2 linked regions of the Saccharomyces cerevisiae S288C genome follow. The protein of the gene in region 2 binds, or shares a complex with, the protein of the main gene of each other region. Each region holds a gene or a part of one and is shown on either strand. Other genes may lie near its edges. A codon is read from its position in the direction of its gene.

Region 1 (3,830 bases), on a different chromosome or scaffold from region 2:
AAACTTCATTTAGATCCCATCACAATATACTAGCAGTGGCACCAATTATTTTTTTGGTTGGAAATAATTCTATTTTCAAAATGCCAAACAGCGTACCTTTAGACACGTGGGATGGTAAAGTTACCATCATTTTATTTGTGTACTTAACCGTTTTCAGTTTCATTTATGGAATAAGAAATCTGTACTGGATACACCACTTGGTGAACATAATATGTGCCTGGTTGCTATTTTTCGAAACAATACATTAGAACTACAACCCAGTAAAAAAAGATTAACTGTATATATTGCCTGAGAGTTCTAGATCATGGCAAGAAAAAAGCTTGAACTCGTAAAAGCAAAGGTGGTTTCTACCACTACTTACGAGATGTTTATTATGTAAAGGAGTTTAAATATTATCAAATAAGAAAGATACCATTTTTTTTTATAGAGAATGTGGTGCATCTGATGAGCACCTGAATCTAGTAGTAACCTTATACCGAAGGTCACGAAATTACTTTTTCAAAGCCGTAAATTTTGATCATAAATTATTATTATCTTCAGTCCAGAACTTTCTGGCTTCCTCATCAGCTGCCGTATCGGGAGTGTACATGTCGACGGGTTCAACTTCTCCCTCTTTGTAACTTGCATCAGCAAACGGTCCTATCCTAGTATTTTTTGAACTCGTAGGTGTGGGCAACTGATAAAACTGATTTTTCTCTATATCATCTGCAGTCTCAGAAACAAAAGTTCTTTCCGAATGTTTATCCGATGTTGTTTCCTTCCTTCTAGGATATAGGTCATATAATCTACTTCTGAGACTGCTTTTAGCATCGTTGTTGATACTATCAGTTTGAAAGCTAGACAGCGTGCCTGGATAAAACCTATCTGTGGATGTTGTAAAGTCTGAAGTAATTGTGTTTGTTTTGGATGCATTATTAGCAGCCGTGGCCCACATTGATGATAATGGTAAAGACAATACAGCAAGTAATGTTGCAACAGTAGTCAAGACATCTGTTCCCTGGTTTGGTTTCAAACTGTATGCGAGGATGAATATTATCGATGGAACCAACAAAGATTGACATGACATTATGAGTAAAATATGGAAACTATCGAACTGCTTGAGACCAAGGAATCTTCTTGATCTAATAGCTAAAATCAATTTAACTACCAGGACAAATGACATAAAGTTTATTGAGGATGCAAGTAAAATTGTGGATGCATTGAAGTATTTATCTTGGGTGGCACTAACATCATTATAAGTCACAATCATACCTTTAACAGCGCTTACAAAATACATGGTAACTGTAGCAATCCCTAAAGTGAAAGATATCGACGTCAGCATCAAACCTATCCTTTTGAAGTTGTCGCCTGTGAAAATAACTTTTATCTGAAACACCAGTGAAGTCTCAATAGAAGCCACAAGAAGGACTTGAATTATATTTGTAGCACCATAAACATGAACGTCACCTCTACTGATGAACTGAGGAAATCCGGTGAGAGCGTAAGTCACTGAAGAGTAATTAGACAGTAAATATTTAAAATAGAGTGCAGAATGCAAAATGATTAAAAACAATGAAACTTGGTTGATAATGAAAATCGGCGTTTTTCTGCTTCTCGATGTCATCCACATGACAATCAAAGTCAAAGCAGCTGCACCACATCTGACACCAAACATAATGGCCTGAGTAACAGTACTGTTAACTAAACCTTGCAACTCATCGAAAGTGATGGTAGATCCATTCCCATATATGGAAGTGTAGTTAATGGTGCTTTGACCAGGATTATACGTTGGATCATAAAATAGATTGCTCAATGAAGGAGCCGCATCAGACATTTTTGATTCTTGGATATGGTTCTTAACGGTGCATTTTTAAGTAACCAATTATAATTATAGCCAGAGCAGGTGAAAAGAAAAGGTATCGTATTGCTTTGAAGTCAAATAAGATACTAATAGCACTCCTTAAATAGTATTCCACCCACAGAAAAAAATCTTGAATATGTAGGAAAGCTTTTTTCTTCATATGTGTTTCATCATGTACTTACCCAATTAGGAAATTTACATGGTTGAAAAAACTTCAATCTGCGACTTGCCAGGCACAGGTCCTAAGCAGTATGGACGTTGGCCTGCTTAAATTCTTAGCGGATACTATTGTTTCATTGCAAAGCAGGATACTTCTTCTCGTTTATACTAGCCTGTCTTAATGCACGAGACATTTACCCACAGAGCAAGACGTATATTGACGGATTGCAACACCTATTCGAGCACTACAGCGTGTGACAATGCATTTTGGCAGGCATTGGATAACATATCCGGACTATTCTACAGTTCGTTCTATGCTCTTATCTTGAATCTTTGGTGTATTAAAAAGCTTATTGAGGTTTCATAGCTAAATTTTTCCTTTTTTCTCTCTGGGAAGGGAAGATTATCTTGAATTGGCAAAGTAAAGAAATAAAGAGAAAATTTAGCAAATGACATAGAACAAGCCAATTAACAAAATACGATGCCATTAAGGTCATTATTTCATACTAATCAGAGTAGCCACGACAAAGACGCGTTGACAAGGGGAGGTTATAACGCATATCTGGAATCACTTTCTCGTTGTGACAGTGGAAAGGCAGAAGAACAAAAAGGAAAAGTTATATCAAAGTTATTAGAGAAAAAAGATGTCCGAGCTTTGAGGTACATAGGTTTAGGGCCTCTGGGGTTTGTAAACAACTCATTAAGAAAAGATTGTTGGTATGAATTATTGGCGTCCCAGTTGCTTATTGATGATGCAACAGAGTACATTACACCAGTGGAAAAACATAAAGATGAAGGTCAGGTGATATTGGATGCAGAAAGGTCTTTTGGTGGAATTGTCGACAAAAACTTGAAACTGCAATTGAGAAAACTACTGGTGGAGTTAATTACTCGGGTATTGAGAAAGTACCCAACGTTGAACTATTACCAAGGTTATCATGATATTGTGTCTGTTTTCATCATGTGTTTTAGTTGGAATGTCACAAAAGAGAACGGACTGGAACTAGAAAATCTCTCATTGCAAGAAGAAATTGATATGGAAAGGCTGTTTTATTGCATCGAAGCATTTACCCTATTATATCTGAGGGATTTCATGATGAACTCACTAGATTTTTCATTTGAGCAATTGAGAGTAATCTCTTCATTGATAAAGGAATCAAACATGAAATTCTATAATCTATTCAAATTTGACGAAAATGAGCCCCTTTTCGCTATTGGGTCAATATTGACAATCTTTGCACATAATTTGAAACCTATAGATAGCGGTGACAACAATCTTCATAAAATTCTTTTCCAGATATTTGACATGACAATATCGATGCAATCTATGCGTTTACCTTTGATCATATACAAGAACCTGCTATTGCAAAATGCGTCTGAAATTTCGAAGCAAATAGAAGCTAATTCTGATTTCTTCGAGAACGATTTTGACCTGCGCCATGGTGCTATACAAACAGTTTTACAGAAAAAACTGTATGATGAGGCGCTTTGGGAAGAAGTCTTGCAAATAACTAGAAAAGATGCGACTACTGCCAGCAAGAAGGCTTTGAAACGGGTGAGTCTTAATAAATATAGTGCATTACTCAATACAGCATGTGGAAAGCCAGGATGCTTCGATATGAGCACCATTATCTTCTATTTGAGCGAACAAACAAAGATGAACGAGCATTACAAGGAAGAAAAGTATCATGGTGTCGCCGCCAGATCCAAGACAAGGGCGTTGGTCCAAAGACTTGGCCATTTTTTACCCTCCAAATATAACAGGTGGAGCAAAATTTCTTTACTTATCGGGATTGTAGCTATCCTGTACCAATTACGGACTACAAGGTCG
Region 2 (3,916 bases):
TTTGCGCTCTTGATTTTGATCAGATTCTTTTAAGTGGCTTGAGGAGTGGTCGTACTGTTGGTCCACCTCACTAACGCAATCATTTTCGCTGTGGCTAGTATATTTGTTCGAAACTTCCTTTGAAGGGCCTAGTAGATCTTGATTCTTTGTCACCTCAACATTGATTTTTTTTTGTTTCTTTGTAGTTATTAAATGATTTGAGAAATATTTTAGGGCATTCATTCAATTAATGAAACAATGTCCAGAAATTAACAACAATAAAGAAAAGTGAGAATAGGATGCAAAATAGGTTCTATATATCCCGAGTATTTACCAGGGAGAAGAATTCGAGATAATACCCTGTCCTTACGTAGAAGAATCAATTGTTTTCAAGAGTTTTTCTTCTAAAAAAGTGTCTGGACCTTTTTTTTCTCATGCGATTTTATTACCCTTGTTTTTCAATTGAAAACCCGGAACGATTTAACGAGATCAAGAACTGTTGAACAAAATGGCTTTTTCATTTGGCATTCCATCATAGACTCTAATGGAGAAGAAAAATAGTAATTTTTTCTGGTGCTGCTGCTCCTTCTTGCATCTTCGGAAACAGAATTTACGTATCTAAACACTACTTTAATTATACAGTTCCTTCATATAATACCAATTTTTTTAAGGTTTTGCTGGATGATTAGATCGGTGACTGCACTCAATACGAACTTCATAGTTTGGGTATCGGTAGCGCAGGTTCGTTTCACGTAGATTGGTTTGTTTGTCTTATTCAAGCTCAAAAATATCTTCTCAAAATATTTTAGACCCGCTTCTGCATCGCCGACACGTCCCTGGTAATCAGGAAAGTACTTTCTTATGGGCATGCTTTTTACCTTTTCCTCGAACAAATCAATTTTATTTAAAAACAAAATAAACGGTGTATCTTTGAACCACTTAGAGTTCAATAACGTGTCAAATAGCATTATTGATTCATGCATTCTGTTCACTCTTTCATCCTCAAACAACATCTGGTCGTATTCACTCATTGCTAAAACAAATAAAACTGCTGTAATTCCTTCGAAACAATGAATCCACTTCTTACGTTCAGAACGCTGCCCACCAGCGTCGAGAACCTTGAATTTGGACGAGCCGATGTTAAATTCGGTTTCTGTAATGCCTGTAGTCTTTATACGGCCCTTCAAAATGTCTTCATCCGTACAGACATAATTCGGACTAGCAAATTTCTCAATGTTATCAAAGTAGTATGCAGCTGAGCCCTCCAATTGAAACTCATTAGAACGTGCAAAACACTGCTTTATACCTTTGTCGTTATTCCAAAGTTGCTTTATTGCCTTAGCAATGTCTTCGTGAATAAGATTTCGTCTATTTTGTCCTTGAATTTCCCTTGATGTTTTTCTAACAAACATCTGGTCATCGCCTTCTTGGTTCAAGTCCTTGCAAATATCCTGTAGGTTAATTCTACTACTGTTGTTTCTATCAGCATCCTCATTTTGCGTCACCGTTTCAGCATCTCTGTCAGTGTCACTTTTGACATTAGAAATATTTCCGTCTTCATCGAAAGCAGCTTTTGCTCGTCCGGTACTCTGAACACGCCTCCTAGTTTCATACCTTTCTGAGTACTTCAGTACATAATCATTTAGAAAATCAGAACCACCGGCAACACTGGCGTTGATATAATCTAAAGCTTTAGCCTTTAGCAGTATTCTCTTGCATGCAAACAAATCTTTATTGTTGATCGGATCATCACAGTCAAGTTGAATACCTAGTTTTCTGGCCTGAATAATCAAAATTTTCATTGATTGTATGGCATCTGCCCATATCACTTGAGCATACTGTAACCTTTCTTGATGGGAGAAACCGCCTTGATGTAATAATTTTAATTGTTTTAAAACCGTTGATTTACCTGACTCACCGGCACCTAATAGTAACAGTTTTATTTCATTCTTGTCACGTTGTTTCTCCAGCTGCAACGATTGCTCGATGACATCATTGGCTCTTTTGTTCTGTAGAAAAGGATCACTTTCGTCTCCTATTGTTTGCGTACTCACTGTACACCCCATTATTTCCTACCTTAATATATCAATTTATACACCTCTGGATTATTGATGTGATGCTAAAATACCAATTTACAGTATGAATAGCTTCTACTCAGTTTGGTCTTAGAAATGGTCAAAAATGTTAGAAACGGAGTGACAAGAAAAAATGAATAACAGATCAAAAGATTACGAATAATATAAAACGTAAAGAAATTGGTGGAATTCTACTATCCTCTTCATTTTAGACTATTTTTTAATATTTCCCTTTAAGGAAAACAATATGTAACAAAAAAATTTCTGCTCTCCATTTAATTGCATTTCTACAAGGAAGAATACGCAGAAGGACGCGCAGAGCCCTAAATTGATGTGCTTTTTAACATGCTGAGCCGAGTGCGTTTCGGTGAAATAACACGAAGATGCGTTTCAAATTGAAACTAGTCAGTGTTATCTGCATGAAAAGGGAATATCGTTATGCATTCAGTTTTCCAATAGAGACATTTTTTTTTTTTTAGATTCGGCTTGCTTTATCCACCTATGATCTTGTTTTCAAACAACATGTGCCATGTAAGATAAAAAGGTAAAGATGAAGTACAGAAAAGAGTATAATGTTACTTGTATATACAGGATATGAATCAATAATACTAATTATAACGTTGAGTCGAGTAAAACAGCTTATGGATTTCTTTTCTTATTTTCGTCTTATCATTACTGCTTTAATGCACATTTCTAAAACTTACCGGCTGCGTTAAATGATTGGCCCATTTTCTGCATGTTTTCACCGACTTGAACATTGGTCTCAAAATATTTGGCCACACATCTGTCTAGGCACGAAGATTCATTCTTATTCAGCTCACCCTCGGAATAAGAAGTATTGATACATTTTTTATAACAGTTATTAACCAATTTATTGAACATGTCTGTGACCAAATCTAGTTCAGCTTCCGCAGCTTGAATCTTTTGTTGAGATGATAATTGAGGCTGACCACCACCGAAACCTAAGAAAGACATGTTTTTCTAAGTATGATAGTTCCTTCTTTTGCTTGTTTATCTGTTAAAAGACATGAGAGGGGAACGAGGAGAGTAATAGTTCTTTAGAGAGCTTGCTCTTGTACGTTCACTGCCAGCTCTCTCGCTGAAAAAATTAAAGAAAAAAAATGTCCGATAGCTTCAGAGGGTGATCATCAGCTACGAATTGGGAAATCAATGCAAAAAATGCTTCCAATCGGATTTGAACCGATGATCTCCACATTACTAGTGTGGCGCCTTACCAACTTGGCCATAGAAGCTCTAATAGTGATAGGACCCAGATTATATTTAGTGACTTGTTGATAAATGTTTTAAAATATTACCTTCGTGTCGTTATCGTTACTGAGGAAAGATTTGCAAAAAATAATTACATACTTGGGCTCTTCTGAACGAACAAGTTAACCAAAAAGGTGTATATTACTTCCTCTTGTTTTGTTTCCGGGCTAATGCTTACCTTTCCTTTGTTTCCAATGTTCTTCTTTAACACCAAAACATACTATTTGAGAAATGGGTGAATGTTGAGATAATTGTTGGGATTCCATTTTTGATAAAGGCTATAATATTAGGTATACAGAATATACTAGAAGTTCTCCTCGAGGATATAGGAATCCTCAAAATGGAATCTATATTTCTATTTACTAATATCACGATTATTCCTCATTCCGTTTTATATGTTTCATTATCCTATTACATTATCAATCCTTGCACTTCAGCTTCCTCTAACATCGATGACAGCTTCTCATAACTTATGTCATCATCTTAACACCGTATATGATAATATATTGATAATATAACTATTAGTTGATAGACGATAGTGGATTTTTATTCCAACACTATTTGAGGTTTGGCAACTGTTGAAATTATTGTTA

The links.
Region 1: the proteins of GPA1 (region 2) and STE2 are in contact, whole or in part, in a cryo-EM structure (PDB 7AD3), measured with the Saccharomyces cerevisiae proteins. Residues at the interface, in NP_011868.1 of Saccharomyces cerevisiae: Ile310 (codon at 1,118), Gly311 (codon at 1,115), Ser312 (codon at 1,112), Ser313 (codon at 1,109), Phe315 (codon at 1,103), Asn434 (codon at 746), Tyr438 (codon at 734), Val439 (codon at 731), Gln448 (codon at 704), Lys451 (codon at 695), Phe452 (codon at 692), Leu454 (codon at 686), Ser455 (codon at 683), Ala456 (codon at 680), Thr458 (codon at 674), Asp459 (codon at 671), Ile461 (codon at 665), Ile462 (codon at 662), Gln463 (codon at 659), Asn465 (codon at 653), Leu466 (codon at 650), Lys468 (codon at 644), Ile469 (codon at 641), Gly470 (codon at 638), Ile471 (codon at 635), Ile472 (codon at 632); in NP_116627.2 of Saccharomyces cerevisiae: Thr78 (codon at 1,582), Pro79 (codon at 1,579), Ile80 (codon at 1,576), Phe148 (codon at 1,372), Gln149 (codon at 1,369), Val152 (codon at 1,360), Ile153 (codon at 1,357), Thr155 (codon at 1,351), Gly156 (codon at 1,348), Asp157 (codon at 1,345), Asn158 (codon at 1,342), Phe159 (codon at 1,339), Lys160 (codon at 1,336), Lys225 (codon at 1,141), Ser232 (codon at 1,120), Arg233 (codon at 1,117), Phe235 (codon at 1,111), Leu236 (codon at 1,108), Leu238 (codon at 1,102), Ser243 (codon at 1,087), Phe244 (codon at 1,084), Leu247 (codon at 1,075), Leu289 (codon at 949), Ser292 (codon at 940), Ser293 (codon at 937), Ala296 (codon at 928), Thr297 (codon at 925), Lys304 (codon at 904).

The regions. Positions count from the first base shown.
Region 1 is NC_001138.5:80,563-84,392, reverse strand, and holds STE2 (alpha-factor pheromone receptor STE2), read right to left. Parts: upstream 1,814-3,830; coding exon 518-1,813; downstream 1-517. Other genes in the region: BST1 (Bst1p), read left to right, coding at 1-248; GTPase-activating protein GYP8, read left to right, coding at 2,481-3,830. UniProt on the Saccharomyces cerevisiae protein: Fungal class D1 G-protein-coupled receptor that acts as an alpha-factor pheromone receptor performing pheromone-dependent signal transduction involved in cellular conjugation, mating projection assembly, and in cell fusion.
Region 2 is NC_001140.6:112,873-116,788, forward strand, and holds GPA1 (guanine nucleotide-binding protein subunit alpha), read right to left. Parts: upstream 2,046-3,916; coding exon 627-2,045; downstream 1-626. Other genes in the region: Nem1-Spo7 phosphatase catalytic subunit NEM1, read right to left, coding at 1-222; protein transporter TIM10, read right to left, coding at 2,748-3,029. UniProt on the Saccharomyces cerevisiae protein: Alpha subunit of the heterotrimeric guanine nucleotide-binding protein (G protein) that mediates mating pheromone signal transduction.